Struthio camelus: one gene and its partners. The protein of the gene in region 4 purifies or fractionates together with the protein of the main gene of each other region. This does not show direct contact. Links are inferred from orthologs where the notes say so. Each region holds a gene or a part of one and is shown on either strand. Other genes may lie near its edges.

Region 1 (7,010 bases), on a different chromosome or scaffold from region 4:
ACAGCGCGGGACACCTCGGTTCGCCCGAAGGAGGAAGGAGAGACACGCACCCCGCACAGAGGGAGCCCCGGAGGAGACAGGAGAGCCCCGAAGGAGAGAGCCCAGGAGCGGAGCCGCCGCGACGCCGGAGAGCGAGGCGAGAACTCACGTCAGGGGGGGAAGGCGGCCTCCAGCGTCCGCGGGGGTCCCCGGCACAGCTCGGGCCGGCTGGGGGGGAGCCGCTGCCAAAGAGAAACAAGGAAAAGGGATAAATCCCTCGCACGCCTCTGCTCTCCTCTCCCGTCCGCCAGCCGCCGCACCTCCCGGCCCCAAACCGTCCGGCTCTGCCCGCAGGAGGAAGGGGTCAAGCAGCGAGCGGGTGAAGCACAACAGGCCCAAAACCCGCTCCAAGCAGTGCCCGAAACAGGCACTGAATCATCAGGAATTTTTTTTTGGACTGCAGCGGAGAGGAGGAAAAAATATCAGCAGCAATCCCCTTTCTGGAAAGTTTCTGTCCTTTGGAGAACAAGTTTCTCACACTCGGGATTTAAATAGGTTCCCGGAGGTGCCCAGCTTTGAGGAGCGCAGCCAAGCGCTGGCTCCCAACCAGGACGTCCTGCACCCAGGAGTCCCGCAGATCCAGGCTCTCTCTGCCTCGGCGTAGGCAGGCAGGAGAAAAAACAGCAAGGGTGGGAAAAAGGGAGCACTTCCCAGGGGTAGCAACCCCTGTTATTCGCGCTGTCAGGGAGGCCCCTGTTTCGGGCAGCGGGATGGCCGGCTGGCTCGGGTCCCAGCCCTTAGAGGGTTGCAAGCGTGGAAGCAGTTCCTCAACTGGGACAGCCCGTTCCTGTGGTTTTAATAAAACCACCCAGAGCTGTCGTGGGTGACCCAACCTTCCCACGAAGGCAGCTCAAGGCACTGTCTGGTTAGGAGAAACACGATCCTCGTGCTGGGAACCAGACCTCAGCTCTCTTCCGATCCCCGTTACTCCGTCTCCGGCACCGTTCAGAGCGTCGTACCCCTTCCCCGTGGCCCTCTCGCCCCCAGGGACTCGGCCCCGGCCGCTCACCTCATCTCGGGGATCGGACAACCGTCATCCCCCGTGCCCAGCTCACCCCCAGCGGGCTGGGGTGCCTGGTGGGCTTCACCGGGGGCGTCTCCATCCGCCTCCCCGCTGGGGCGTCTCCGGAAGGCGGTGAAGGTCTTGGACCCGAAGCGAGAGGGGACATCGGGGCAAAAAGGAGAGAGCCGGGCCCGGTCGGGGCTTCCCGGACCCTCCTTGCTGTCCATCTTGGCCAGGATCTCTTCCACGGTGGTGCCAGGGAATCGCTCCAGCTTGGCTGCCACCGGCACCGGCGTTACCTTGAAGGGAGCCGGGCCTTTGCGAGAGGGTGTCAGCGGGGCCGGGGGGAGCTCATCAGCGGGGGTCGAACCCACGTCCCCAGCAGCTGAAAGCGGAGGGGACGGGAGCCCCTTCCCGTTGGGGGTCTCGGGCGACTTGAGGCTGAAGGAAGGGCGTTTGAGGGCCCCTCCGGAGCCGCCCCCGGTGTACGGCTTGGGCCCCGCCAAGCGGTTGATCTTCTCGGCTGAGGGCAGCTCGGGGCGAGGGTGGCGCGGCCCCGGCGGGGGGTGCGGGAGGCAAGGTTTGGCAGGCACAGCTGGCTTGGGCAGCACACGAGGTTTGGGCCGGACAGGCGGTTTGGGGCGAGCGTTGCCTGTGAGAGACACGAGGAGAAAAACAGCGTGTGGGAGAAGTTACTACTCTGAGCCGAGAGCAGCAAACTCCTCTCGCGGGTAGACCTTGGACGGGAGCCTGGATCCCGTCCTCCTCCCCTGCCCTGGCCCCCGCAGAGGGGAAAGGCCCGCTGCAGACTGGACTGGCCTCCCCCAAACCCCGTTTCTCTGCGTGGGGGGACGTACCTTTCTCGGGGCTGCCTGCTGCCAGCCCGGCCCCCCCGTTGCCTTTGGCGGAGGCGCAGGGCAACGGGGGGCGCAGGGGCTGAGGCTGGGAGGCCATGGCGAAACGTGGGCTGAGGCTCAGCAGACTCGGTGCGCGGTCAGCCCCTGGGGAGAGAGAGGTGTTGCGAGGAAGGCGCTCGTATCGCCTTTCTGGGCTCTGATGTCCGTGGGACCCGCACCCAAGGAACCCCACTGTCACCCCGCCAACCCTCTTGTTCACCCGTACCAGCCTTTGCCCCCAAGCCCCAGCTCGCTCGTACCAACCGTGGCACAGGGCCGTAACCCCAAATGTTGCGGCAACCCCAAGTCTGTCCCCAAAGGCCATGCCAGTTCCTCAGTCACCTGTCCCAACCCCCCCCCAAACACTGTGCCAACCCACACACAGCACGACATCCCCCCGTTAACCTGTACCAACCCCAAAATACGATGCCAGCCCCCAACTAATTTGTACCAACCCCCTAGACGCTGCACTGACCCCCCCCGCCCAGCCCATGTGCCACCCCCAGGCAGCTTGTACCAACCCACGTGCAGCGTGTCACCCTCGATGAACTTGCAGCAAGCTCCCGCACCCCGTGCCAAGCCTGAGTTAGCCTGTGGCAACCCCCCAGACGCTACACCCGCCTGCATATAGCATGCCAGCCCCAATCAGTCTGTACCAAGCCCCCCTCTGAGATGCCAGGCCTACCCTCCGCCGCTACCAACACCCGGCGAGCGTGCCAACCATCGGTCAGCCTTTATCGGCTGCCCCGGGGCGCCGTGCCAACGGCCTCCGCAGCACGCCGAACCCACGCTGCGCCCAGGCCAACCCTCTCAGCGCCAAGCCCCGGGTTGCCGGTAGCACACCCTGCAAACACGGGGCCTCCGCCGCGCGCTGCCAACCCGTCCCACCCCTCCTGCCGGCTGGGCCAGTTTGGGGGGGGGGGGGGGCCACACTCACCTTCCCCGCAGCGGCCTCATGTCCGGGCTGGGACGGGGAGCAGGGGGACTCGGGGCAGGTCCGCAGAGGGAGGCGGCCCCCAGGCTGGCACGGGGATGGCGCTGGCGTTGGCCGGAGCTCGCGTGAGTGACTCACGAAGGCTGCGGGGACAGGAAAAACTCGCTCAGCTTCGCTCTCGCTGCTGCTGCCTCCTCCTCCTCCTCCTCCCAGCCCTGCGCTGCCCTCCCCTCCGCGCCCTGGGCGGTGGGATGGCTGGGGTGAGGTGGGGGGGGACCCCCATCGCCAGATTTTTTGGGCTCGGCCGCCCCCTCCTCCTCGCTGCGGGCCCCCCAGAGCCGGGGGGGGGGGGGGAACACGGACAAACACACACACACACATCTGGAAACCATCGGCCCCCAGCGCCCCGCTCCCCCCACCCCGGCTGCGGCCTGCTCCCGTCGCCTTGGCAACGCAGCCCCTGCTCGATTTGCCCTCGTAGGGGCCACTAGGGCCGGGCTAGCGGGCCCGGTGGGGGGGGGGTAAGCACGGCCTCCCGGGGCTCCCCCCGCTCCCGTAGCCCCCGGGGGTCCCGCAGCTCCCCGGGGGGGGGGGGAGGCTCCGCCCCACCCGACCCCACCCCACCGGTACCGCTCGCTCCCCCCCCTTCCTCCTCCCCGTCCCTACCGGGAGGTGCCCGGCGCGGCTCCGCTCACCCCCCCCGTCGCCCCCCCCCTCGTCGCCGTCGCCGCCGCCGCCGTCCCCGCCCGCGCTCACCCGCCGCCGCCGCCGCGCTGCATATTCATGAGCGCGCGCCCGCCCCGCCCCGCCCCGCCCCGCCCGCGACGTCACCCGCCCCGCCATAGAGCGCGGCGGGGCTAGAGCGGCCGCGGCGCCGCGTGGCCGCCACCGCCTCCCGCCCGCGTGTGCCGCCGGGAGGAAGGGCCGGAGCCGCCGCCCGGCTGCCATAGAGATGGCGGCCAGAGGGGCCCTCTGCCTCTCCCCCTCCCCAAGCCGAGGGCACTATGGGGCGGGGGTGGAGCAGCCGCCGGCGCCATAAAAGAGGGGGGGGTCGGCGGGGGGGGGGGCTGCCGACCCCCAGCTTGCGCCTACACCCTGGTGGGGGCTGGCGAGCAGGGTGGTACGTGCCATAGAGAATGGGGCTAGAAGGGCCTCCTGCCCACCTGTCCGTACCATAGAGAGTGACCCTCTGGGCCAGGGTTCTGGTGTGCTACCTCCACCCGGACCCTGGGTGGGCTCCAGTCGCAGCCCCCCCACCCCGCGGGACAGCCACCTGCCCCACGGCCACCCTCCCCCTCTCCCTCCAACTACAGCCACACTCTCGGGTCAGCCCCCTCACACCCAGCGGCAGCACACAGCCGGCCTGCAACACCCCGCTCTCCCTGCAACCAGCCGGCTCCCCTGGCCGCGAGGGTAGCGCGCGCGGCAGCGCAGCGGTGCTGGTAAATAAGCATGCGGTGAGGGCCTCGCCCCGTCCCCGCACAGCCCGCTGCGATTGAATTACAGCCTAGACCGGGAAGCGGCCGCAACAGGTCGAGCGGAGAGACGGTAATGGATGGCCCCGGAGAAGAGGCGCTAATCGGATCAGCCCCCGACCTCTGCAGCGGAGCCAGGGGCCAAGAGGGGCTGGGGCGGCCGTGCAAGCACTCGGCGCCATCCCCGACCCTCCGTGGGGGGACGCGAGGCCCAGAGCGGCCGGCTGTAGCACCCCCCCACACCCCACCCCGCGTCGGGGAGTGGAGGAGCCCTGGGCCCCATGCTTTCCGCTGAATTGCATCAGGATCGACCGTGGGGCCTCCATTAGGAGCCTGATGGCTCCTTAACGGAATTAGGGAGGCCGAAGGAGGGGCTCGGGGCTGCTAATGGACGGGCAGGGAGTGAGCTCAGCCTCTGGCCCCGTTTCAAGGACAAAACGGAGCTCGACCCCTGCCGGCTGCAGCTGCGAGGAAGCAGCCGCGGCACAACCCGGCCCCGGGGTGCCGCTGTGGGGGGAAGGAAGAAGGAGCCCACCCTGCTCCCTCTGCCTCCCCCGGCTCCGCACCCACACTCACTCCCTCGGTGGGGTTTTTTTATTCAATCTGATTTGCCACGTGAACGGACCCAAAATACAAAAAAAAAAAAAAAAAAAAAGAGAGAGAGAGACTGAAACAAACCCGAGTATTTAAAAAAAATAAATTGGTGAGAAACAGGGCTGAGGTGAGACTGAGGCCCCTCCTGGGCCTCCTTGTGATGGGGTCTCGCTCCCCCAACCAGGCACTGAGGGGAGAGGGCTTGCCTACCCTGCTCTTGCGTCTCCCTGCCCCCGGCGGTACGGGCAGGAGGACTCAAAGTCGAGGCAAGGTGGGTTCAGAGCCGGCTGTAGCCCAAGATCTGGGCCCCTGACGCGGGCCGGCCCGTCCCAGTCCTCTCGCTGACCTGGGAACCAGCCTGGAAACGGCAGGGACGGGGCTAATCCGAGCCGGACACAGAATCTTCCGAGCTGGGGGGCAGGCTGGCAACTCCCTCCTCCTCCGAGTCCTGTGGCAAGAGAGGACGTTAGGACAGCGGTACCTCGGCAGCTCCTGTTCACCTGCCTCTCCGAGGTGGGTCGGGGTGATGGCGGGGGGCTTTGCTGTCCCTTGGGAACAGGCAGAGGCGTCAACAGCACCGAGCCCGCGCGTCCTCCACCATGGGACCCGTAGGGGCCGCCTGCGCGTAGCATAAAGACGGGCCAGAGGGGCCACTCCCACAGGGATGAGATGAGCGAACAACAGACAAGACGTACCAGAGGGGTGCGCTCCCTGTAGAGGTGGGACGGGTGTACCATTCCCAAAGAGATGACCGGAGCGCACCATAGAGAAGATGGGGCAGAGGACCCAAGCCTGCCAACAGAAGTGGAAGAGCCATACCTCCTTCTTGCTCTCTCCAGAGGAGCTCTCATCACTGGAGACAAACTCCTTGCTCTTGAAGCTCTCACTCAAATTCTTGGCAGGGGACTTGGTGGAGGACAAAGACTTGGAGGCTGCACCTTTCTTCTCTGCTTTCCCCTTCATCTGCTTCTCCTGCTTCTTCTTCTTCTTTTTAGACCGCTCCCTGTGTTGGGAGGGTAGAAGGGAGAGAAGCGTTGCCTTGCTGACAGCCCGCAGCCAAGGATACTGCCCCCACGCACCCCAACCCCAGGCACCCCGATGGCTGGACAACAGACAGATTTCAGAGACGCAAAGCCCTGCCACCTCCCCCTACCAGCCCTCTCCGCTCAGCCCACTCACGTCTTGGAGCTTTCTGACTTGCTGCCCACACTGTACTCCTTCATGGCCTTCTCATAGTCCCTCCTGGCGTCTTCTGCCTTACGATCCCATTCCTGCAGCCAGAGCACAATGTTGGCAACGCCTTCTCCCGCATCCAGTCCTCCACCACCATCATCTGCACCGCCAGAGTCCAACACTGTCCCCACCCGCAGCGCACCAGCACTCCCACCACACAGCTCACCACCTCGGTCAAGACTGTGCCCGCCCAGCAGTTGCCCAACCCAAAGACATCACCTCCGCACTGCAACGCTTCTTTTCTAACCTCCTGTTTATGGAGTGCTAGGTTCCTGAGACCAACCAAGGGCCTGCCACGCTTCCTTCCTAACGTCCAGCCTCTCCCTCCTAGACATGGATCAGCTCCCCCCACCAGCAGAGCAACCCAGGTGCCCCTCGCAAATTCCTCCTCGTTGTGTGCCTAACCTCTTTCTTCTCCTTGGACATGGCTTTCCAGAGCTCCCCAGCCTTCTTAGACAAGTCTGTGATGCTGATGCCAGGATGGTCTGACTTGATCTTCTCGCGGTTGGCGTTCAGCCAGAGCATGTAAGCTGACATCGGCCTCTTAGGAGCATTGGGGTCTTTCCCTTTCTTGCTCTGGGAAGGAGGGAGAGAACAAGCATGAAAGCCTCGTGCAACGCTATTCACTAAAGACTTCAGGGCTGCCCCAAGACAAAGGGCTAGGTCTCAGCGTGCCTCCTATATCCCACCGGTAATTCAGCCCACCACTACACCGTCGGGGGAAACGGGTTGTCAGGCCACGCCTCCAACAACTCAAAGCACCCACTGGGCAGGTTGCTGGAGACAAGGTGTCCAAAAATCAAAAGGACCTGCCAGGCACAGGCACCGCAAACCCT
Region 2 (7,321 bases), on a different chromosome or scaffold from region 4:
CTACTTTTCACAATTATTTGTGCAAGTACAACTTGGTTATCAAAAGTCTGCATGTATCAGGCAAAGGACATCGGCATTGCCAAAATAAATTTGTTGTAAAAGTGTTATGTCTGATTATTTGTATTATTCAACCACCACCCAGACGTCCTATTATGTTAAGAGCTGCACAAGGCTGTAAGAAACTGTTCCACCACCAGGGATGTATGACTAATTTAAGATAAGAAACAACAATTGGACATTAGAAGCAAAATAAAAAGAATGGGAGAGGAGAATTAGGGTAAGCGTGACAGGCAGTCTGTGGTGGCATGCTCCTGCATGAACCATTAGTGAGTTTTATGTAAGGGGAGAAATGGTTTGATATAAATAAATAAGAAATATGATACCTGTATTCCTTACTGGGCATTTGCCTAGCCCAATAGAGATTTCTGTGGTATGTACTTAGCTTTCATATTAGGGTATTATTCTCACTCACACCATGCCCAGTTACACCACTTTTTTAAGGATCTCCAAATGGCACTGCATAGATAGCAGAGGACAGAGGAACACAGCCAAAACACTACAGCTGGGCTCGTACCACAAAAATTCGCCATCTGTATCCAGCTAGGCACCTGCCCAGCAAGGGTTATTGATACTGCATTTCTTTGTTATTGAACTCTTTATACTGCTAGAGCAATATAAAGGGATCTTAGTGTGACTGAGCTTTGGTCTCAGTCTAATGTGTGTTTTCCTGTTTTACATTTCCAGTTCGAATGTGATTTTGTTTGAGTATCAATGTAAATAAATCACTTGCTATGATGCCTAGTTGAACTGATGCTGCCTCTGAATGCAAAGGATAACAAACCTTGCTGTATACTTCAGTGAAAGGAACACATACAGAATACAAGGATAAATGTTTATAGAGGTATCTGATCGCCAGTCCCCTTGCTAGTCTAAGGTCACCCTGCCAGATCTTGGGCCTTTAGTTATTCTGAAAGTAGATTCTGGGCACCTTCCCAGTAAGTCTGACTGAGTTGAGGTCCTCCTTGTCTTTGTCTTTTGGAACTTGTGGCCCATAATGCACAGTGATATAACAAGACACCTTACAAATAAAGCATTTAGTAGCTGAAAGAAAGCATTTAGTGAAAAAAGGGTCATAAAATAACAACAACAACAACAATCTGTATGCATGTGTTTACAATGTAAAATTTACAAGGTAACCTAAGCAAACTGGACTCTGCCAGGCACTCAAGTGTCACAGATTAATTCCCCCAGATAATTCCCAGCCCTTTGTGAATGTGCTCTTTTCTCAACCTTCCTAAGTCTTTTCCCCTCCAGTGGCACTGTCTCTCAACTATTGTTTGTAGAAAAGTGGCTTATCTTGAGCTATACTTTTTCCTTTCATTTTCCTTTTGAATTGAACTTTTGTGTTCATGGAGCAACTATGTCAAAACAGAATACTCATAAATTATGACAGAGCAGTTCCTCTTCCATCATAAGACTTAGAAACATTTAAAATCTAGTAGGTGAAGCTGGAATTCCTGTCTGTTCTTAAAGGTTACAACAAAAAGCAAGTGAGAGTGAACGTACTAGAGTAAAACAACCTTTATTGTATCTATCATCTAGGGTGACATGTATAATAATTAATATTACTTAAGATGAAATACAGCAGCCATCATCTCTTTCACTCCAGAAATTTAGAAAAGGAGGATTGCTCAAATCGCACAATAGTATGTTGCCGAACAAACCAAGAACACAACAGCTTAGCAGAAAAGACTGATACATGCAGTAGTCTGACAGAAATGCCATGGCATTAAAATGTAACAATAGTGTATATTTTATAAGCTGTTCTTCTAGAGAAAAGTCTAGCAGAGCTGCTTCGTATTGCTTCTATAGACTGGTCTTCTCATCCAATTAACAATCAATTATTAGTACTGTACACCGAGGGAGAAAAAGTGGCTTACGCTTGACAGCAGGCTTGTTGTGTTCTCCTTTCCTCAGAGTACTTTGTATAAATGGTAAAGGAGTTGGCCCCACACAATCTGCCTCATATCTATACTATACGTACAGACAGGCAGCAGCAAATGCAATCTTTGCCACACTGCTCAAAAATACTTTGCCATGTGACCTAAAAAGAACATTTGGATGAGGGAACTTAACTGACCAGCAGCAGTGCCAATCAGGGAAAACTGTAAGCTGTAGCAGAAGCTACATTTGTTAAAGAGAAAAAAAGAAAATCTCTCCATGCTCTGTGGCAGAGTTTGCTCTCCTGCCCCAGCCACTTGTAGAAGGACCATGCCACTCTCTTGGGGCAGCCAACCCCTCGGTGGGGGACATGTGTGACCCCAGGATGCGCCCCCAGCTCTTCAGCCCCAGGTCGGGGGCTTTAACCAAAGTGCTGGAGCCCTCGCAGGCGTCAGGCACTGAGCGTTGCCCCCGGGATGCAGGGAGCCGCCGAAGGGCTGGTGGTTGCCGAAACCCTGTCATCAGGCAAGCTCACGGGGCTGGCATGTTAACCAGGGAGGTACTGAGGAGCCGCTCTTAATTTCTGGAGACCTGTAATACAGTTCTGATTTGAATAATTTTTCAGCACTATAGCTTTTACAAATAATGACTACCTGTTGCATACTAATAGGGTAGCATCTGTGTTGCTCTTCAGCAGGATACATCAGTTTTGCCCACTAAAACTTCTCGTTTACCAGGACAAGAAGTCCCAGGATACCAGCGCCGTCCCAGTTCTTCCCCAGACGAGCTGACTGGCCCATTTCAGGTGACTCTGCGCATTGGACCTGGCTGCCACCCCGAGACCAGGTTTCAAACCCTTTCCCCAGAGCCGGATGCTGACCTTACCTCAGCCCGCCTGGACTGTTTTTGTAATGGTATCTAGTGCCCTCAGACTTCAGCAGTCCCAAGGGCTTTTGCCTTTCAGGGTAATACTTTGCACCTAGACGAGCAGGGTGGGAGACCCTGTGTGCCCAAGGGTGCTGGCACGCCACCCCCCACTTGGACTGCACTTGCCCAGAGCATGCCGCAATCACTGCTGTTCAGACTCAGATGAATTAAGCCTCCCAATAACTTTATGAGACAAGCATGCATTTACCATCTTTCTTTGACAGATAAACGTCAGGGAGCCACCGTGGCTTGTACAAGGTCTCACTGTGCTTGAGTGGAGGAGTCAGAAACACCCTGACTGTTGCCGTTGTGCGTTACCCAGTTAGGCTGTGCCTCTTTCCCACGCTTTAGCCTCTCCTCCCTTTCATGTGTTCTTCGAACGCTTCGCAAATTTAAGGTCTTTAATTTCATATCCCTGTGCTCCAGAAGGATAGGTCCGTGCCTTTTGTAGTTTAGCCACAGCCAGGAACTTGCTGATTCCCTCAGATACTCAGCCCTGCCTCTGGGTGAACCTGTGCCTGCCTTAAGCAAAGATATAATGCGGTGACTGTTGTTTTGTTGCTGCAGATCTCTGGAGAGAGGGTTTTCGTGGAGTCTTAGCTTGGAAGGGAAAAAAAAATCAACACGCAACGCTATACAGCTCATGGCTGGGAAATTAAGATGTTGCCCCCTCCCACCCCCAAATCAGGCTTCCTTATAGGAAGTGACTGGCAGAGGCGCCCCTACAACACGGCATGCGGGGAGCTCGAGGAAAGTAGTTTGCAGCGAGAGCAGCTTGGCTGGCTGACAGAGGGGGCGGATCCTGCGCACAGGCGGGGAGCGCCGCGCCGGAGCGGCCCCGGCAGCGGCGGGGCTATTTCAGGAGCCGGCGGAGGCGGCGGCCGGGGCCGGGGCGCGCCGCGCCGGGGCCGCGGGCACCGACCGGGGAGCCATGGGGTTAGCCGCGCCGGCGGGCTGAGCGAGGATTTGCGAGCGGAGGCGAAGGCAGCCGGGAAAGACTCCTTTGCATCGGATTCGAGGGAAAAGGGAGTCGTTTTCTTTTTTTCTTTCTTTTTTTTTTTTTTTTTCGGGCTGCATCACAACTTGAGCTGCATCGAGGCGAGCCAGGCAGAGAGGGGAGCGGGAGGGGAAGGAGAAGGAGAGGGAGAGGGAGGAGGAGAAGCTGCCGCCGAGGGACTGGGATTCGTTTTATTGAAACAAATCAGTGCTCGGGAGAGAGGGAGCGAGGGGGAGGAGGGGGAGGGCAGGACGAGGGGGATCGGGAAAGAAAAGTGTGAGGGCTGTGGCTGGGAGAAGCAGAAGTGATGAGAAAGCAAGCGGGGAGGCTGGAGGAGGCTGCTCGTGCTGCTGCGACCGGGCTCCGCGGGCACCGCCGCTCCTGCTGCCGCCGCCGCCGCCGCAGCCGGGCGCCCCCGCGGCCGCCGCTGCCGCCCCGCCGCCCCCGGCCCGCGCCATGGAGGCGCTGAACGGCCCCGGCCCCGGCCCCGGGGACACGCTGCGGCCGCCGCCGCCCAGCCACCACCACCCGCACGCCGAGAAGAAGCGGCTGAACCGAGCCCCGTCCCCCGCCAGACCCTTCCTCAAGGACCTGCACGCCCGCGCCGCCTCCGCCAAGCCGCCGCCGGCGCCCCCCAAGTCTCCCAGCCTCCCCGGCCGGGCGCAGCCGCCGCCACCGCCGCCGTCGTCGCCTCACGCCGCGGGGCTGCTGGCGGCGCAGGGCCGCCTCTCCCGCCGCCCCGCCGCCCCCGGGGCCAAGGCGGCCGCCGCTGCTGCCGCTGCTGCCGGGCGGGCGGCCGCCGCCAAAGCCGCCCCCTGCGCCAAGCGGGCGGCCCGCGGGCCGGAGCCCGGGCCCGGCGGCCGCGGCGGGGGGCGGCAGCCCGGCGGCGAGGCGGCCCCGCCGCCCGGCAAGGGCAGGAAGGCGAAGCGGGGCGCGGCGGCGGGCAGCGGCCATGCGGCGGCGGCGGCGCTGGCGCTGGCCCGCGTCAGCCACACGGACAGCAGCTCCGACCTCTCCGACTGCCCCTCCGAGCCGCTCTCCGACGAGCAGCGCCTGGCCCCGGCCGCCAGCAGCGACGCCGAGTCCGGCACCGGCTCCAGCGACCGCGAGCGGGAGCCGCCCCGCCACGGACCCGCCGCCGGCCCCGGCCGCGGCGCCCCGCTGCCCCCCGGCGGCCCCCGCGGCGACCCCGCGGCCCCGCTGCCCGCCCCCCCGGGGGCCGCCGCCGCCGCCGCGCCGGGCGGAGGGCGAGCGCCGGGCCGCGGCGAGCCGCCGCGGGCGGCCCAGGAGGAGCTGCAGCGGGAGATGGAGGAGCTGCGCTCGGAGAACGAGTACCTCAAGGTGAGACCCGCCGAGACCCCCCCCCCCGCCCGGGGCAGCGGTGACTCGGGGGTGCCCGTCTGGGGCGGGGGTGGGGGGGCCGCGCCGCGGACCGCCGGGTTTACTCGCGCCCGTCGGGGCCGCTGCGGGCAGCGCGGGCGGAGGTCGGCGCGGAGCGGGGCCGTAGCAAGGCGTCGCAGGGGCAGGTAGGGGGCTTCGGCGTGTGGTCGTGTTTCTCTGCAAAAGGCTTGATTTATAGAGGCTGGATGAACGCGAGGCCGGCGCGACGGGTGCGGTAAGAGTGCTGTGGCTGGGCGGTGCGTGATCCCTCAGCCATGCCCAAACTCTTTCTGAAGCAGAGTGAGCACTCCGCTGGTTACCGGAGACCTCGCTTTCCAGGAATTGTTATCCTCAATATCACCCTTACAGGAAAGAAAAAAAAAAAAACAACTCATTTGATATCGGAAAGAGGACAGCGTCTTGTCTGTTTATCGTGTTACTTTGTCACTGAAGAGCCAAGCCATTCATTGTGAAGTACTAACGAAGTAACAATAGCAGCCGTAAAAGGAGTCTTTGCATCGTTGTACAGGTAGAAAAGCACACATATGTGCATTCAGCCTCTGAGAAAACGGGAAAGCTAAATTCAGGAGTGCTCTGAGCTGATCTGACCTGCAGAAACCTTTTGTTGGACTAGTACTTACAACATGATCTTTTGGCACAGCAAAGAGGCTGCATCCATAAAGATCTATAAATAAAATAAACTGAGATAATCATGTAACCACAGATACTGTACCATTTGACTCTGCTGCTGGTGAGGACGATCTTTGTTCTCTGAATATCACAAACACCATTTCTTCTCAAGCAAAATGACCATGGGCATCCAAGGGATTTTTGCTCTAGTGAGGACTGGAGTTTCGTAACCTTGGGAGAAAGGAGGATGGCGAAGAGGTAGACTAGGCTTGTTAAGCAGTTTTGGCTAGGAGACAAGAAACGATGTGCAGCATAGCAAAAGGTTAACAGCAGGGGTGCTGCAAGGTTCTGTGCTGTCTGGTGCTGCTTCATGAACTGGAATAAGGAGTGAGCAATGATACAGCAAATTTTTCAGATGACACAGATTTTTTTTTTGATGTGAAGTCCAGCAAAGACTGGACAGAACTCCATAGGCAGCTTAATCAGGGGAGGTGAATGGGTAAAAAGTGAAGGCAGAGGATGCGAAATAAATCTCAGTACTGAAAATTCAAAGCATTCAGAGAGAAAAAGGGCTGAATATATACTTTTCTAGGTTTTAAATGCGTTGTTTTAACTCAGGAGCATCACAGTGGAAAGAGCAATGCTCAGTGTGCAACTGCAGGTAGTACTAGATTGCATTAGAAACTGAATGGCAAAAAAGCAAAGAAAATATCATAATGTTTTATAGATTCATAGCCATTATATGCACTGGAATACTGTGGGCAGTGCTGGTCATCTAGAAAAGGATAATGCAGAACTAGAGCAATAAAAACTATTGGGGCATAGCAAAGCTCTTACAAGATTCATATTGGATAGAAGACTCTGTAGTGCACTAGAGAAATGCAATAAAGGTCAGTAAAAAGATGAATAGCGTAGAGAACCTTTATCAGAAGCTTCTGTTCTGCATGAGAGAAACAAGGGGACATGTAATGAAATCCAGACTTGTTAAAGGATTGCTTTTACAAATAGTTAAACTGCATTGGTCTTTGGGGTCAAAAGCCCAGTAATACCCAGAAGAGGAACTGGCTATCCTTTCAGATGACAGGGTTTGCAGACTTACAGTACTTAACTTTGTGAAGCAGGTGATGAACTTGGTGAAGCTGACCATTATGAAGAATGTGTTAAGCTGCTTGTTTCGTGTCCAAGGTAGTTTCTAATTATGGGAGACTTAAAAAAAAAAAAAAAAAAAAAAAAAAAGGGGGGGGGGGTTGATGTTATGGAGAATGTTACCTGCCTACTGTGAGTTTCCGTGCCCCTTCCTCTGAGTTGTCTAGGACAGGCCACCGTGAGGGTACTGGACCCCTGGTACTGACCAGAGGACCTGATCGACAGATCCTAGGTAGCGAGCTTTATTCTGCGTCATTTCTCATTTCTTGCCCTGTGTGACAGTGTCTTCAAGTCTTTCAC
Region 3 (7,359 bases), about 5.6 Mb from region 4:
CATCATCTAAGACGATTCTTAAAAGTCATCCTAAGCACTCTAAGCACAAGGGAAACGTCTTTGACCTTGTCACTAATAATTTACAAAGCAAACACAGGTTTTAAATAATTAAAGTAATTTTTCCCTTTGGAGAGAAAAAAACAAAACTAAGAACCACAGAAATGCTAGTCATACTGTTTAATGCACTTCTGGAACGCATTCAGATAACACATCATGGAGGCAGAACAAAAATCCGAAAAGCGTGACCCAAAAGGTGACTGGATTCCAAAGCATTTTTCACATTAGGTAATCACGACTCTCAGTGTAACTCTATGAAAGAACGAATCACATTTGAAGAATTCAGTGATTTAAAAATCACTGAGGACATGAAACAATTTGACCGTCACGTTACCCATTACACTGTGAAGGTGCATAAAAATTGCAGGTGCCATGACTATTTACAGATTTACCAGATCAGAATAATGGCTAGAAATGGACAAAACTCATAAACCATATTCAGAATGAGCTCCTAGATAGCGTCAGGAAGCACTTAACAGAAACATGTAAGAAATATCAGAATTTCCACCAATTGTTCGTCATTCAGTTTATTTTGCAGGGCATTTGCTTCTTGTTATCAAAGTGTACCAAAACATGACAAGAATCAAATCTCTACAACTTCTAGGATAGCAAAACCTATTGCTACAAATCTGTTATCACCTATTGGCAGTGGTTAGAAAGCCTCCAGTAACTTAAAACTTGGCTATCCACTATATTGCAATTCAGCTTAAAATAGCTGTCTACCTAGCATGTTCCTGGCCACCCTGGATCCTGGCCACTGTTTAAGCAGCCAGAAAGAAAAGCCTGTCTAATTATGAATTTTAAGGGACAGGGGTTAGATAGTTTACTTGCTCATATTTATGAGAAACAAACAGAAATACCTAAGAGCTTACAAAAATGTAGAGCTATCTTCACAGTGCTATACTTACTAAAGTACACAAAGTGAGAGCTGTCCTTTATACTGTAATAAAGAAACATTTGCTATAATGGCAAGAGAGCATTAATTTCTCTTATATATACATTTAGCAAAAGATGAATAGCAGTATTTCTTCACAGGTAGGTGACTACCCATAACTTTTAGCCATTACAAAGAAATACCTTTCTACTTGATTTGAACATAGTGTGATGTGGTGGTTGATTAGAGTTACCTATATTGAGACTTACGCAAGCAAGCACTGGCATGCTCAAAGTCCATTTTGATGTGCATAAGAGCACCTTTCACACATATCCTCGAAGTTATAATCAAATCTGACTGTAGGAGAGAGTGTGATTTCTTCGTTTAGTTACCTATGGGTGTATGGGAATAGGGCTACTTACGGTAAACAGAGTTGAAGTTTTGACGTATTTCTGAAAGAATTAAAGAAACAGTAAAAACTGCCAAAAAAAAAAAAAAACCCCAAAACCCAAAGGTCACGCAGAAAATACTATACCAAAGTCTAGTAAAAATATTTCCTTCTTGTAAATGTTGTGTATTATTCAGTTAAAAGAATCTTACTACAATGTGGGCTGTTCTGCAGTATGCGCTTTCTACCAAAACCATCACAGCCTTAACCACGTGCAAAAACTGATGTCTACTGGAAAAAAATGAATTCAAGTACAGGGAAGAATATGCAACTTATAAGAAGGCAAAATAATGCTAATAAATAAATATGCTAATAAATAAACCTCTGTATTCTTATCCTGAGACTCTTCATAATGACTTGTGATTTGGATAGCAGTTAATAAGACTCTGAAGCACACTAAAATTCAGAAGTTTAGCATAAAGTTCTTAAAATTCTTAAACATAAAATCCTTGCTCAGTTTCGCTTGTCTTTCTGGAACATCTCTCTTCTTTGTCAAACATGAAACACTGTAATATAGGAACATATTTTTGATATTCAGATTAAAAAAAATACTTTTTTTGCCTTTTTTCCTATTAAACTGAATATGAAGTCTACACAGTATTAGTTCCAGTGAGAAAAGAGCACCATTTCAATGCTATTCTTTTTATTGTCATAAAGAAATAAAATCTCTTCCAAATCTGCCAGTGTATACAAGCCTTCATTTTTTTAAGTTTCCTACTAAGCAGATGTCAAAATTCTACTTCTGTACTTTACTGCCCATCCACTTTCTGTACTGTACCCCTCTGACAGATTGGTTGGATCGATGTGATGTCACCTCAGATAGTCAAGGTGATCTCAATTTGGTGACAGATACTGTAGTCTCATATCAGTCTAACACTTCCAGTCTAAGTGTGGGCTGCCGTTGAAAGCAGAGTCCCACAGACTTGGCTGTGCATCCTCATTACCACACTGTGGCAGTACTAGTGCTCCTGGGGACACATGAGCAACTGGATCAAGGAACTGATCTGTCTGAAAACTTTTCCCTCAAGAGACATTCAGCCAAATCAGTCCTTCACAAACACTAATGCCAACACCTGGGAGGAACCAAGAACACAGGATCACGATTTAAAGTAATTGTGATAGTGTCCCATCTTTGGTTGCCACTCTGACTGGAACTTCAATGCTTTCTTTTCTTTTGGAAAAGCTCTTGTCCAAGACTTGCTTTAGCTTTTAATGACCTTTGTGCTGGGAGGCTTATAATAGAGGAATTACAGCTGACTTCACTGTTCTCTGGGAGGTATCTGCTGTCTCTCATCTCCTGGTTTCATGTGAAGTCTTTTCCCTCTCTCAGCCTTGTTGCTAGAAAAAAGATAAACTGCAGCTTTTCTACTTCCCCAGCTGCTGCAGCCCTCACAGTTAGTTCCAGCTCTCCAGTGGGTGAGACGTTTCCACAGTGACTTCTTACTTGCTGGACTAACATCACACAGTAGAGCTCATATACTGCAATTACAATGCTAGTTGCCATTTCCCAAACGGGACACTGACTCCCTCATCTGGTGTCTTCAAACCGGGGATGTGACAAAGTGTAGACAAACACATCTACCAACACAAATAAATCCGTTTAGAAATCCCTGAGTTGACTTCAGAAATCCCTGGAAAAGTATACCAGAGAAGTATATGCTTGCGTTATTCTTCTTTTCTTGCCTGTGCCATTGGTGGGGAGGGATAGACTGCTGGGTTACTTCCTTGTATGCCTTGTTACAGCATTTTTTATGTTCTCATGTTGACTAGTGACCCATAAAACCCCTGCTAACTCCTTATGAATCTGAAAGAACATCAGCATCAAGACTCAATTAAAGTGCCTGCAGTCCTGCTACAGCTACAAACACCTGAACATTTCACCTGTGCAATCTAATCCAGACCACAACACAGATTAAAAACACTGGCTACAGCACAGAACACAGAAGCCACTCTTAAAGAAGAGGAAAGAAGTAGTACCCATCTTTTTATCATCAGAGGATGGTGGTTTTCAGCCTGTGGACCCAGGTGCCTGTGTTAGGTAACTATCAAAAGCAAAGCTACATCAGAGCATGCTTAAATTCACTATACTTGGCTCTCTTCCAGTGGGAACTTTAAAAAAAGAAAGTTTAAGAAAACTTTTTCCACACAAGTCAAAAGGTGTAAAAGCCATTGGTCTTGTGGGTAGGCAATGCACTGAGAAGTAGATGCCCCCCCACTCCTGCATTCACACCTTAACAAAAGTGTCTCAGAAAAGTGTCTCAAGCATCAGTAACACGGTGAAATAGAGAAAACCTTTGCTATTCCTGTTGAAGCTGTGCCACCAAGTAGCAAATAAAGCAAAATTAACTGGAGAAAAAGAGTGACTCCCCCATGAGGAACAACGGCTCGAGTGGAGAGAACGGTGGTTCTGGGCTCTGTTCCCTCATCTCTGAGCAATTTATTTGATGACTACTTAACACAAATTCTGCAAAACACATCAGCAGCTTGGTGTCCTCCTTTTTAAGTTCCCTTGTGGCCCTTTCCCTGCTGCCCCAAGCAAGAGCTACAGCTCTCCGCGGCCGACTCCTGCGGACCTCTGCAGTCACCTCGGTAATTTCCCTGTAGTTGGGAGACCCCGCGGGGCCTCGTCCCCGGGCGCTAGGGAGGAGGCCGCAGGAGCCCGGCCGAGCTGCGATCCTGCCGCGCCGCCGCCGCCGCTGCCCCCCGCCGGGGGCGGCAGGACCGGCGGGGCGCCCTGACCACGGCCCCACGGGGCGAGCGGTCGGCGAGGCGAGAAGATCCCGAACAAATCATCCCGGGCATGGCCGGGCCGGGCCAGGTCGAGCCGAGAGGGGCTCCGCGGCGGAGCCTTGCTCTAGGGGGCGGCAGCAGCAGCGGCGCCGCCCGCCGCCGCCGTGGCCCCGGCCCCAGCCCCAGCCCCAGCCCCGGCCGGCGCCGCGCTCGCCGCCGCTGAGTGGCGCGGGCGCGTCACGTGTGCGCGGCCGGGCCGGGCCGGGCCGGGCCTCGGCGCAGTGCCCCGGGGCGCAGCGGCTTGCGGTGCCGGCGCGGCGCGGCGCGGCGGGTGCGAGCGAACGACATGTCCCACCAGACCGGCATCCAAGGTAGCCGCGCGGCTCGCCCTGCCCTGCCCTGCCCTGCCCTGCCCCCCCTCATGGCACCCGCCGCCCTCTCCCTCTTGTGCGCTCCGCTGGCCGCGGGGCAGGAGGCGAGCGGGGCCGTGGCCGGCGCGGCGTCGGCCGCGGGGCAGGGCGGGGAGCCGGGGCCGCCGCTGCGCGGGGGAGCGCGCCCCGCGGCCGGGCTCTTTGTTCGCTGCCGAGCGGGGCTGCTTCTGCCGTGCCGCCTTTGTCTGGCCGCGGGGTCGCGGGCGAGCCGAGCCTAACCGGGGGGGGGGGGGGGGGGGACGCTGCTTCGGGCCGCGGCTCTTCGGCGTTTCAGCCTTAGCAAGGGCCGGCAACGTCGCGTCTCGCTGCGAACTTCCACTGCTCGATGCCGCCGCATCACGAGTTAGCAGGCGACTTGTGGGTTTTATTTATTCGGCTAACCACAAGAAGAAAGGTAGACAGCTATTCAATGCAAAAGGAAAAAAAAAAACCCTATACTGACGTGGAAGATACCTTTTGGCTCGAGTAACTTCCTGTAGCAACCTGTGCCCGCTGCACCTTACCGGAGGTTTTCCTGCTGGGGGTGGGCGGGCTGCTGGAGCCGGACCGGTGCCCGCCGTCGGGGGGTCCCGCCGGGCTTTGGCGGAAGCTGGGGTCTGCTCAGCGCCGCTGCAGCTAGGGCGAAACGGCTCGGACAGCGCCGACAGTGCCGAGAGTTGCTGCCCGGCTCCTTGCATGGGAGAAGCGCTGAGAAACAGCAGAGAGACAGAAAGGGAACTGCGAAGAACCAGCGATCCAGGATGAGGGAAGCCCAGTAAAAGCCCTGTTACAGGAGGCTGTGGAGGGGGGAGGTGTGGGGGAGCCTGTTTTCCCCTGCTTCCCGGCCATGGAGAATATGAAGTGCAACTAGAAGAGGGCATGTTATTTCTCAGTATTACCAGGGCCCTTAAATCACAGAATGAGTAAACAAGGATTATACCGCAGGATTAAGGGGGTTTTCAGTTTGTGTCTTGGTTGCCGCAATCTGCTTGTTCAGTGACTAGTACGGTGTACTTTGCCTGCTCTCCCACTTTTATTGTTGAAGGCGACTTTTGTACCTGCTGTGGGAGCTCCTAACTACGCTTCCCCCTGCTTTGTTGTCCGTTTGCTATGTTTGTTAGACACCTTTTCTCCTCTCCTTTTCCTTTCCCTGCATCAATTTTTGTTCTTCTCGTTTCTCTTAAGTTCTTTGCCCCTTCTCAGACCTGAGGTGCATCCAGAATAGCTTTTATTTCCAGACTGGGAAGGACTGTTGCAGTGGCTCACGTTCCCTTTTTCTCTCCTTGGTGTTGTTGGAGGGAGGAGCAAAAGAATGATCCTGTTGCTCCCTGCAGGAGCTGAGGAGCAAGAAGGGTGGCCAAGCCTTTTCTCCTTCATGTCTCCGAGAATCTTTCTGTTGTCTGAGGAGAGCTGCAGAGGACGCGGGTGGTTTCCTGCGCTGCTCCTGTCTCGGCAGGCTGGGACGCAGGGCAGCCCGCTAATCAGGGACCCTGTTTGCCGCGCAGCATCCGCTTGCCTCTCGGCAGGGCTGCGGCGTGGGAGACGAATAGCACTTGTTGTGCCATTGTGAGACTGGCCGCTTTAGCTACGGGCAGGCTGGTGTCCCTGAAAAATAATGGCAAGGCTTGGCAGCATGGACTGGTCTTTCCTGGAAGCTGAAATCGAGTAGCGGGAACCAGTGATGCTTCAGGTGTCTGATACGTACCAGGCAGATGCTAAAGGGACTGGACTTTCAAGCAGGGCAGTAATAGTGCAGGGGATCACAGAATATTCGCTTGCATTGGGCTGTGGACAGTTGGCCAGATTATGTTCCAGATTATGTCTGAAGCTTACTAAATTATTTTTAAATAAAATTTGCTGTAAAATATTTGTGCCGTAAACCTAATTGTATTTTAATATTCTCTACTCCAGATGAGTCACTTTGAAAGTTCAGCAGAACAAATCTACGTAGTTGATACATGTATATGTTTACAGGCAGTTAAGTGCAATCTTCCGAAGGTCTTAACCGGATCTTCTACAGGACTGTTCAAGCGCTGAATAGTTTATTTAATATGAATTTGCTTGTTGAGGAAGGGAGCGTGTCTCAACTTGTCTATCTTAAAGTTTTGTAGGTTGCATATTTTTAAAAATCCTGTCTAGGATAGTGCTGAGACAGCAGATCATGTCCATTCCTGGTAGGGTAGGGCATGTGGAGCTGGATACATCCAGTGTGTTTCTACCCAAGTATCTTAATTAAGCGCTCCTATTAGCAGAACTCAACTTCACTAGTGGAAGCAGTAGCGTAGATGAAGAAAATGGATGTGTTTATCATCACGATTTTTTTTTTTTAAAAAGAAATTTAAATTAAACTACAGACTACACAATGAGATACAAAAATTGTAATTCTATAAATCTCAACTGTGCGGGAAGTTTAAGCAGAAAATAGTACCATGCTGTTCTGACTTTTAAAGCCTTTGCTAAAAAATTCTAGATCGCTTGTTAGCAAGAGAGTTTCTCAGATGCTGGTGTTTTGTCTTCAGCTGTTACTTCAGGAGCTGTTACAGTTCTGGTGTCGGTGCAGTAGTGACTCCTGTGCTTTGGTCTTGTTTTACTGTGTAGGCTCGATACTAGAGAATAAAGAACAAAAGGTAATAGGCAAGAAGAGGACAAAAAAGTCCCAGGAGAATCGGAAGGTCCAGAAAATGTCAAGATATTTGTGTGTGTGCTGAGTGGGCTTATGTGGAAAGGCAGACAATTAGAAAAGTTGGGAGTAAATTAAACTGAGGGTCAGCACTGGTTAACGGGAGAACGCTAACTGAGATAAAGCTGGTGTGGGCCTGGTAAACCCAGTGAAGTTAATC
Region 4 (7,310 bases):
AATGTAATTTCATTTTTCTGCATTGTTTATCTTAACTGTTGGGGTCAGTGCAAAAGGACAGGAGAAGTATGCTCTCCTAACCCCCTCTGCCAAACTGACCACTTGCCAGTCATCAGGATCACTTTAGCACAGAAACCGCATTTCTCCCAAACCATTTTCACGGCTCTGCAGGGAGGCCTCACAGGAAGGCTTGCTGTGCTCTTCCTCCCATTGTAATCAAGGGCCAGGGTTCTGGACCTACAAAGTCATACATAGAAATGGAAGAAATAGTAGTGCAAAATATCAAGGTACAAGACTGGTAGATCTATCATGTTTGCTTAGATTAATTAGAACTCAAAAAGAAGTCTTTTTAAAATCAATTTGTTTTCTCTCTTTCTGTCAGTTAACCACACACTGCTCATCAGATAGGTTTGGCAGCCCACAGTGCGTTTCACGTAGTGTGACTAGACATCTATTAAGACATGAGCTAGCTAGTTAACAATACTGACGATATTTTGCTATACTTTATGTGACTGCAGTGCACATGAACTTTTCATTATTGTGTATAGACACTAGCATGTGAAAAACATAGCTGATGTGGGTGAACTTTATAGCAAAAAGATGAGCATGGCTAACTTTCAGCCAGTAGATCAATTCAGAATTGAGGTATTCAGAATTCAGTAAAGAGGTATGACTTCATATAAGATGCAGATATATTCTAAGCTAACTTGAGTATCAATGCTTCATCCTGCAGTCACTGAAAATAAATCATTTCCTAAGTCACCTCTTAGTCTTTTCTTCAATAATCTCCTTAATTGGACCTCCTTAAGCCTCACATCCTGAAATTTGTTGTATATCCTCAGGATCATTTTTGGTCTTCCTTTAAACACTCTCCAAGATTTCCACATTCTTTCTGAAAAGGCACACCAGCCCTTCACAACAACACTGAGTCACAAAGCGAGAGCCCTACTTAATCCTGCTGAATTACTGCTTTCCCATTAAGTCCTAAGGTCACATTAAAGCACCTGCCAGAGTGCCACATTGAAGATTCCCTTTAATATCTGTCGTGACTGCACAATTCTTCTCTAAGTCATTCACATCATCAAAGCGATTGCAGCAAATTTCAAGAAAAGACTCTGTGCAAACATTGTACATCGAATAGCCAGATATGTCATCTTAACGGAAAACTACTCATGTTTGTATGACAAGATCTACCTTATTGAATGAACCTCTTTTTACATTTTAAATATAGCAGTTTCCATGGTATATCCTAGTAACTGGGAAATCCCTAAGTTTGTTAAAAAATAACATGAGCATTTCACAGAGCTCTTCAGCTATTTACTCTAAGACTCTCGGGTGGAAGTTATCAATTCCTGCTTGAAACTGTTCAACAGATGTTGCTCATCGCTTCCTCCTGCTACAGACCACTAACTTTTATCACTGAGTCTAAGAAACATTATATGAGATGTTCCAAAACCAAATACCCATAGACCATGCCTTTTCTGCACTAGTCTTCATCATTTTGCATCTAGCAATGGCCTTATCAAATATAAGGTTTGCTTGCCCATTATTTTGTTCCTAACATGTCCGTTGTCTTTATCCTCAGTAACTACAGATATTTTATATATCTTTTCAACTTTCCTGAATAAGCCACATTGTCTAATTTGTACATTCATTGGTTTTTACTTTTATATCTTTTGTTTATATATTGATTTATGGTGTCATCATAATTTCCACATACCCCTTTGACTGCAATGACTTCTTGTCCAATATCACTTTCTTTCACTTGCATGCAACGAACATTTTAAGGCACCTAGAGTGACAGCCTTGAAAGATTATACAAATTTGGGGAATATTTTGCTATATTGCATGTGACTACATCAACTATTGTGTATGGATACTCATGCAAAAAAAACACATCTTGTGGATGTACTTTATAGCATAACAAGATCTGTCGGCTAGAAGTTGGCTACATTCACACCATTAATCATGCTCTACTCACATGTACCTTGGCATCTCTGAATTTTCAAGTCAATGATCAGCTCTTCTTTGTTCACCTTGAAGTACACCATGCTTGACATTAAGAAACTAATATTTTATAAAGATTAGCAAAGAGTTATTACTGGACATACAATCCTTCCACCATATTTCCTTCAGTCTGAAGTAACAGTAACAAAGTTCCTTACATATTAGGAGCAGATATTTAAGAAGTTCACCTCACTCTCTAGCAAGATTGGGTGGTCCACAGCAGACTATCTTTCACTGAATGAACTAGAACTTCAATCTACAAATAATTAAGAACCTATTCTTCTGAAATGTCTCTGACCACTACAGGCCTCTCCAGTATAATACACTAGTCCTTTTACTCTTTCTGTCCTTAGGACCAAGGTCTGAACTATTGATTTCAATAGCCCAGGCACAAGACCTGACCAAATAATGTTGTTATACTAATCGTATCATCTTTCTCAAGCTCCAAATTGTCTTGTGCATTTTAGGTTCCTAGCATTAATGCACAGTAAACTGCAGGATGTATCCTTTACAAATAACTGGGCTCATTTCGTAATGCTTTGGAGTTGTCATATATTAGCATGTGGTGTAAGGATATCTCTGGCATTAGTCTCCCCTTTTCATTTTATTCTCTCAGCTGCCCTTGCTAGTTTATCATCCAGGAAATTGCTACTCATACTAGTAAGATGAAGACTATAGCCACCCAGTTCTATTCAGTTTATTCTACTGTTCCATAAAACCCAAACGTCCTACTTGGCTAAGTTAAATACTTCCCACGTACTTTCTACTTCTGATCAAGGAAGAGGAAGGAGTTCTTGAACAGGTCATCTGACTGTTCTCCTCCTTCGGTTTCTTTTTTAGGCCTCTAAAATTGTTCAGCTTCTGTACAGTGGAGTCTATTGCTATCGCACTGTTGCCAGAATGGATCATTATTAAAACAGCTTCTCCTGCTTACCTGTTTTACCAGTCTGACCTTATGTTTGCTCCTGTAAGAAAACAAAATTTCCTGCTGTCTATCAGACCCTTGAAGAATAGTTTGACAACCCTTGTTAGGAGGGAGTCACCGAGGAGGACTGTCTTCCTAGCCACAATACTGGCAGCTGAGGAAACATTCCCAAGAAGTATCAGTATGTATTTGCCTTGTTTTTTCACCATTCCCTGGGCACCTGCTACTGGTCACACTGTTGGCACAGGTTATTGAATTTCACTCGTCCAAAATCCCCACTGCTAGCTACACAAATGTTCTCTTTCTTCTATTACTGCTTTTCTCTAAAGTTTGTTTTATTACCTCTTCTTTCAGTCAGTTCTTAAAAGCCATCATCTTCAAATATCCCTCTGGGCACCTGCAGTTCCACGCAGCCAGAAGATATTCTTCAGGTTTCTTATTTTGGTGGTAAGAAATTTCCAGCCTATCTAAAGGTTTCTTATTTTGGTGGTAAGAAATTTCCAGCCTATCTAATGTTGTTTCTTCTGGTTAACTACACTCATTTTATTCATCCAATCCAAGAGTACCAACCACTTTACAAGGTCGACTTTCTCGGTCTTTGCTGTTGGCACCGAACGGAACTTTCTGAAGTTTCTTCCAGCAAACTTCATGAAATTCCAGCAAACATTCTGTTGTTTGAAACTTGCCTCCATGCAAATTCCCAGCCCCGCCCCCTCCTAGCCATAGGAGACGCTAACCCGCATTAGGCATGCTGCTGAGCGGATGTCAGAAATCTGGCAATCTGTAGTTCTTTCCACCCACACAGACTTCCAGTGGACTCATTCAAGTGACTCACTTTAGCACCCAGGAAAAGCAGGCGCGGCGCGGGCCGGCGCGCTGCTCGTCCCTCACTCGGGGGACGCTCAGCGGGGCGCAGCGCCCCGGGGCAGCCCTCGCCCCCGCGGCCGGCCCACCCAGCGCCCACCACCATTTGAAACAGGCCAAGTCACAGCCCAGGCTGGACCCACAACTCCGGCCCGCCCGAGCGCCCCCGGCCGCGGGGGGCGGGGATGGGGACGGCGATGGCGGCGAGGGCTGCGGGCCTCCTCTGTCCCGGCGGCCAGCGCCGACCGCAGCCGCACCGCCACGGCGCTGCCCTCCGCCTCCCTCAGCGCCGGGCCCCCCCGCGGCCCCTCCCGCCCCACGGCGGCGGCCCAGGCCAACGCTAACAGCGTGAGGCCCGGCCCGGCCCGGCCCGGCCGCCCCCTCCCCTCCTCCGGCCGCCCCGCAGCGGGACCCCCGCCCCCCGGCCCCGGGCTCGGCCCCGGGCCCGGGCCAGGCGCATGCGCAGTCACGGCGCCTCCCCAGCGGGCCGCGGTGGGGGGGAGGGGGCGCGGGGCCCCGCCCTTCCTGCCTGGGAGGGAGGAGACGGGGACGGGGGCGGCGGCCGGAGCGGCGCTGTTCGGAGCCAGACGGGAAGATGGCGGACCTGGAGGAGCAGCTGTCCGATGAGGAGAAGGTAGGGGCGAGCGGGCGGGCCGCTGCGCCGCAGCCGAGCCGGCGCGCCCCTTTTGCCTCCTCGCTCCTCGAGCCGCGAGGCGAGCTCGGCCCTCGCCGTTTGGGGTCGCCAGCAGCCGCGGCGTTTCGTATTTTTAGCTTCTCCCTGCGCCGGGGCCTGTCAGTCAGGGGGGCGGGAGGAGGGTCGGCGGGGGCAGGGCCGCGCCGGGCATCCCCCGCCGCTCCTTGTACGGTGCGAGCCCGGCGGGCAGGAGCCGGGCCCGGCGGGGGGCGGGATCCGGTGTCCGGCGGCGGCCGGCAGGGCAGGGCAGGGCGGGGAGCGGCCGCCGGGCAGGGGGCCGAGCGGGCACCGCAGAGAGAGGGGGGGGAAAGCCACGCAGGGACCGTCCTCTGCTCTGCTCTCCCCTCCCCTCCCCTTCCCCCATCTCCACTTCCCGTTTCTGCGGCCCCTTCCCGGTGCCAGCTGGCCGCTCCGGAGCGCCAGCGCTGCTCCCCGCCGAGGGGGGCTGTGCCCCGGCCCTAGCTCCAGCGCAGGCCCGCGGTGTCGTCGTCCCCTCGCTCACCTCCCGCGGTCTCCGGGAGGAGCTGGGATACGGGAGATCTGGGGGAGGAGGTCGGCGCTGGGGGTGGGCAGCCCTGTACTTCCTCTTAAGGGACAGCAGTTGGGGAAGTCTGAGGTCAGGGAGCAGGCGGTTTGTGTTAACGAGCTGCGTGCAGTCTCTGCTTATGGCTCTTGGAAACGTCGTCAAGTTTAAGACGGATTTTCCTGAAAATCTCTCAAAGAGTGGGGTGTCTTGTAATACCCCGATTATCAGTGCTCCTTATCTTCTGTTGGATCCAGGGTCATGGCAGTTGCCTGCTTCAGAGCTAGGGTGTGGTAGTTTGTGTACATGATGGTGCACTGCCCATATCTTTATGTAATGCATGGTGTCATTTATTTCTGATTAAAAACATAGGTTTATATGGCTGTAGAAGCTGTTGAGATGATTTAAACGTGGGAGACATCAACGAAACAATGCTTTACACTTCTCTGAAGTTAGAAGAAGGATGTTTGAAATGTCTAATTGGTGGTGACAACAAGGCAGGCTTTCTGCGTGTTTGAGGTTAACATTGCCAAGTTTCAGAACAAGAGATGCACCGATGTGCTAAGAGACACATAGCTTCAGGATCTCGCTAGCCCAACATGAGGCTTTAAAACTGTGTCCTGCTCTACCTAATTCATATTCGAATACCATCTCTGTGTTGGTACGAGTAGGAATGTAACCAAGAAATATATGTGGCAGTCCATTATTTTGTCCTGTAGGAACTTCTACAAAATAACTCTAATCCATTGTGTTGTGGATAGGGAGTGTACTTGAAAAAACTTTTAGTCAAAGTTATTTGTGGTACTGTAAGATACAGTGACAGTTCTATTTTGCCTCTGTATAAACTGAGAAGCACTACCCATGCTTCTGTGACTGTTATAGTTAAATACAGGACTTTCTTCTGTCCATTAATTGCAGGTTCCCTTTTCTCCCAAACCGAGTGCAAGCCTTCTAGAGTCTCTTTCTGCCTCAGCATAAGCGAATGGAGTCTGCACTTTTCCACTGTAAACTTAAACTGGCCACCTTGTCGAGTGCTCTGAGATCAGTGAAGGAAATCTTTTGTCTCCCATGTGCTCTATAAGTGTGATCTTTCTTACCCCTTGGTCCAGTCTTAGCTTAATGTTTTTCACTGTCTCATCTTAGAAGAAAGCAGAGGTGCAGTGCTCTCCTACCTCTTTGAAGTTTTAGCAACCCCGGCCAAAAAAAATAGCCCCTTTCTCCCCCACCCCGATCCTGCTAAATGCCAGCTTTACGGCCTTTTTTTCTTTTTCTTTCCCTTTTTTCAGTAATGATGCTATTAATTCCTTTGTCCACTTCAGTCACATATAAAATTGATTGTCCTACACCATTGGAATTTTCCAAGCCTGGCAATCTATTTAATTGGCTAATAAAACAAAGATGGGCAGTGCTGCAAACTCTTGCAAAAGCAGGAAAATGTCCATGCAGAACTTGTGATACCTAAGGATTTTCCGTTTCCATGGAAGAGGTGCTTGCAGTAGCTTCAGTTAATCTGAACATTTTAGAAGGTGTGTCAGGTTTAATGTATTTATCCATTCTAAAACAAGTGTTCACAGTGTACTGCAGCTCCCACCCGGTGTTCAGAAAGACTAGAGTCCTCAAAGTGTTGCGGACTTGTTTATGGCCTTATTTATGTTTACGCTTTGCCACTAAACTTATTTTGGATAGCCTTTTATTAATCTATTTGAAAGCACTGGTATATTGAAGTTCTGTGCTTTTTTACAGTACAAGGCTATACTGCTTAAACGTTTAATCCTTTTCTGATGGTATTAAACTGAAATCTAGATGAATGTGCACTATAAGTGGTTTAAATAAAGACAGTCAGTTTACAGTAAAGTTGTTTGTTTGTTTATTTCTCCTGAAAGTCACCATAATCTTAAGTGGACAGATTTACCCTCTATTAGGCTACTAAACAAGCACTACATAAGGAAAGAAATTTAGAAATACATATTCTTACGGCATGTCTTGGAGATGTTGAACCAAATTTCCTCAGTGTGCCTAATTGCTCATGTCTTAATTGAAATCTGTTATGAATGATGCAACAAATGTTTTTGAAATTAAAACTTGTCTAGCTCCGTACATGTTCAGTCATTCACTATTATGGAGCTAAAAAATTCTACTGAATAGCTTTTGAAAAGCACACTCTTCTCACCTATCCAGTTGGGACTATAATGCAAATTTAGGAGTAGAGGTAGACAAATGTTTATTTTTCAACAGGAACAAATCACACTGCTCCTCTCTACACTTGTCTCCCCCTGGTGTGAAACAGACTAATATTG

Evidence for each region.
Region 1: the proteins of CAPZA2 (region 4) and TNKS1BP1 purify together in Homo sapiens (affinity purification with mass spectrometry; 4 studies listed by BioGRID and IntAct, counting the BioPlex papers as one, with this or other methods). This does not show direct contact. The link is inferred for Struthio camelus from reciprocal best matches to the Homo sapiens genes CAPZA2 and TNKS1BP1.
Region 2: the proteins of CAPZA2 (region 4) and MTCL1 purify together in Homo sapiens (affinity purification with mass spectrometry; 3 studies listed by BioGRID and IntAct, counting the BioPlex papers as one, with this or other methods). This does not show direct contact. The link is inferred for Struthio camelus from reciprocal best matches to the Homo sapiens genes CAPZA2 and MTCL1.
Region 3: the proteins of CAPZA2 (region 4) and TWF1 purify together in Homo sapiens (affinity purification with mass spectrometry; 3 studies listed by BioGRID and IntAct, with this or other methods). This does not show direct contact. The link is inferred for Struthio camelus from reciprocal best matches to the Homo sapiens genes CAPZA2 and TWF1.

Annotation. Positions count from the first base shown.
Region 1 is NC_090946.1:7,563,478-7,570,487, reverse strand, and holds the start of TNKS1BP1 (182 kDa tankyrase-1-binding protein), read right to left. Parts: upstream 3,016-7,010; 5' UTR 2,876-3,015; intron 2,044-2,875; 5' UTR 1,997-2,043; coding exon 1,900-1,996; intron 1,695-1,899; coding exon 1,049-1,694; intron 222-1,048; coding exon 149-221; intron 1-148. Other genes in the region: FACT complex subunit SSRP1, read right to left, coding at 5,321-5,389, 5,761-5,944, 6,121-6,212, 6,580-6,750.
Region 2 is NC_090943.1:116,633,775-116,641,095, reverse strand, and holds the start of MTCL1 (microtubule cross-linking factor 1), read left to right. Parts: upstream 1-4,321; coding exon 4,322-5,206; intron 5,207-7,321. UniProt on the Homo sapiens protein: Microtubule-associated factor involved in the late phase of epithelial polarization and microtubule dynamics regulation.
Region 3 is NC_090942.1:34,630,627-34,637,985, reverse strand, and holds the start of TWF1 (twinfilin-1), read left to right. Parts: upstream 1-4,345; 5' UTR 4,346-4,455; coding exon 4,456-4,480; intron 4,481-4,993; coding exon of another isoform or gene 4,994-5,400; exon of another isoform or gene 5,401-7,359. Other genes in the region: TMEM117 (transmembrane protein 117), read right to left, coding at 4,994-5,400. UniProt on the Homo sapiens protein: Actin-binding protein involved in motile and morphological processes. Inhibits actin polymerization, likely by sequestering G-actin. By capping the barbed ends of filaments, it also regulates motility.
Region 4 is NC_090942.1:29,001,459-29,008,768, reverse strand, and holds the start of CAPZA2 (F-actin-capping protein subunit alpha-2), read left to right. Parts: upstream 1-4,301; 5' UTR 4,302-4,391; coding exon 4,392-4,430; intron 4,431-7,310. UniProt on the Homo sapiens protein: F-actin-capping proteins bind in a Ca(2+)-independent manner to the fast growing ends of actin filaments (barbed end) thereby blocking the exchange of subunits at these ends.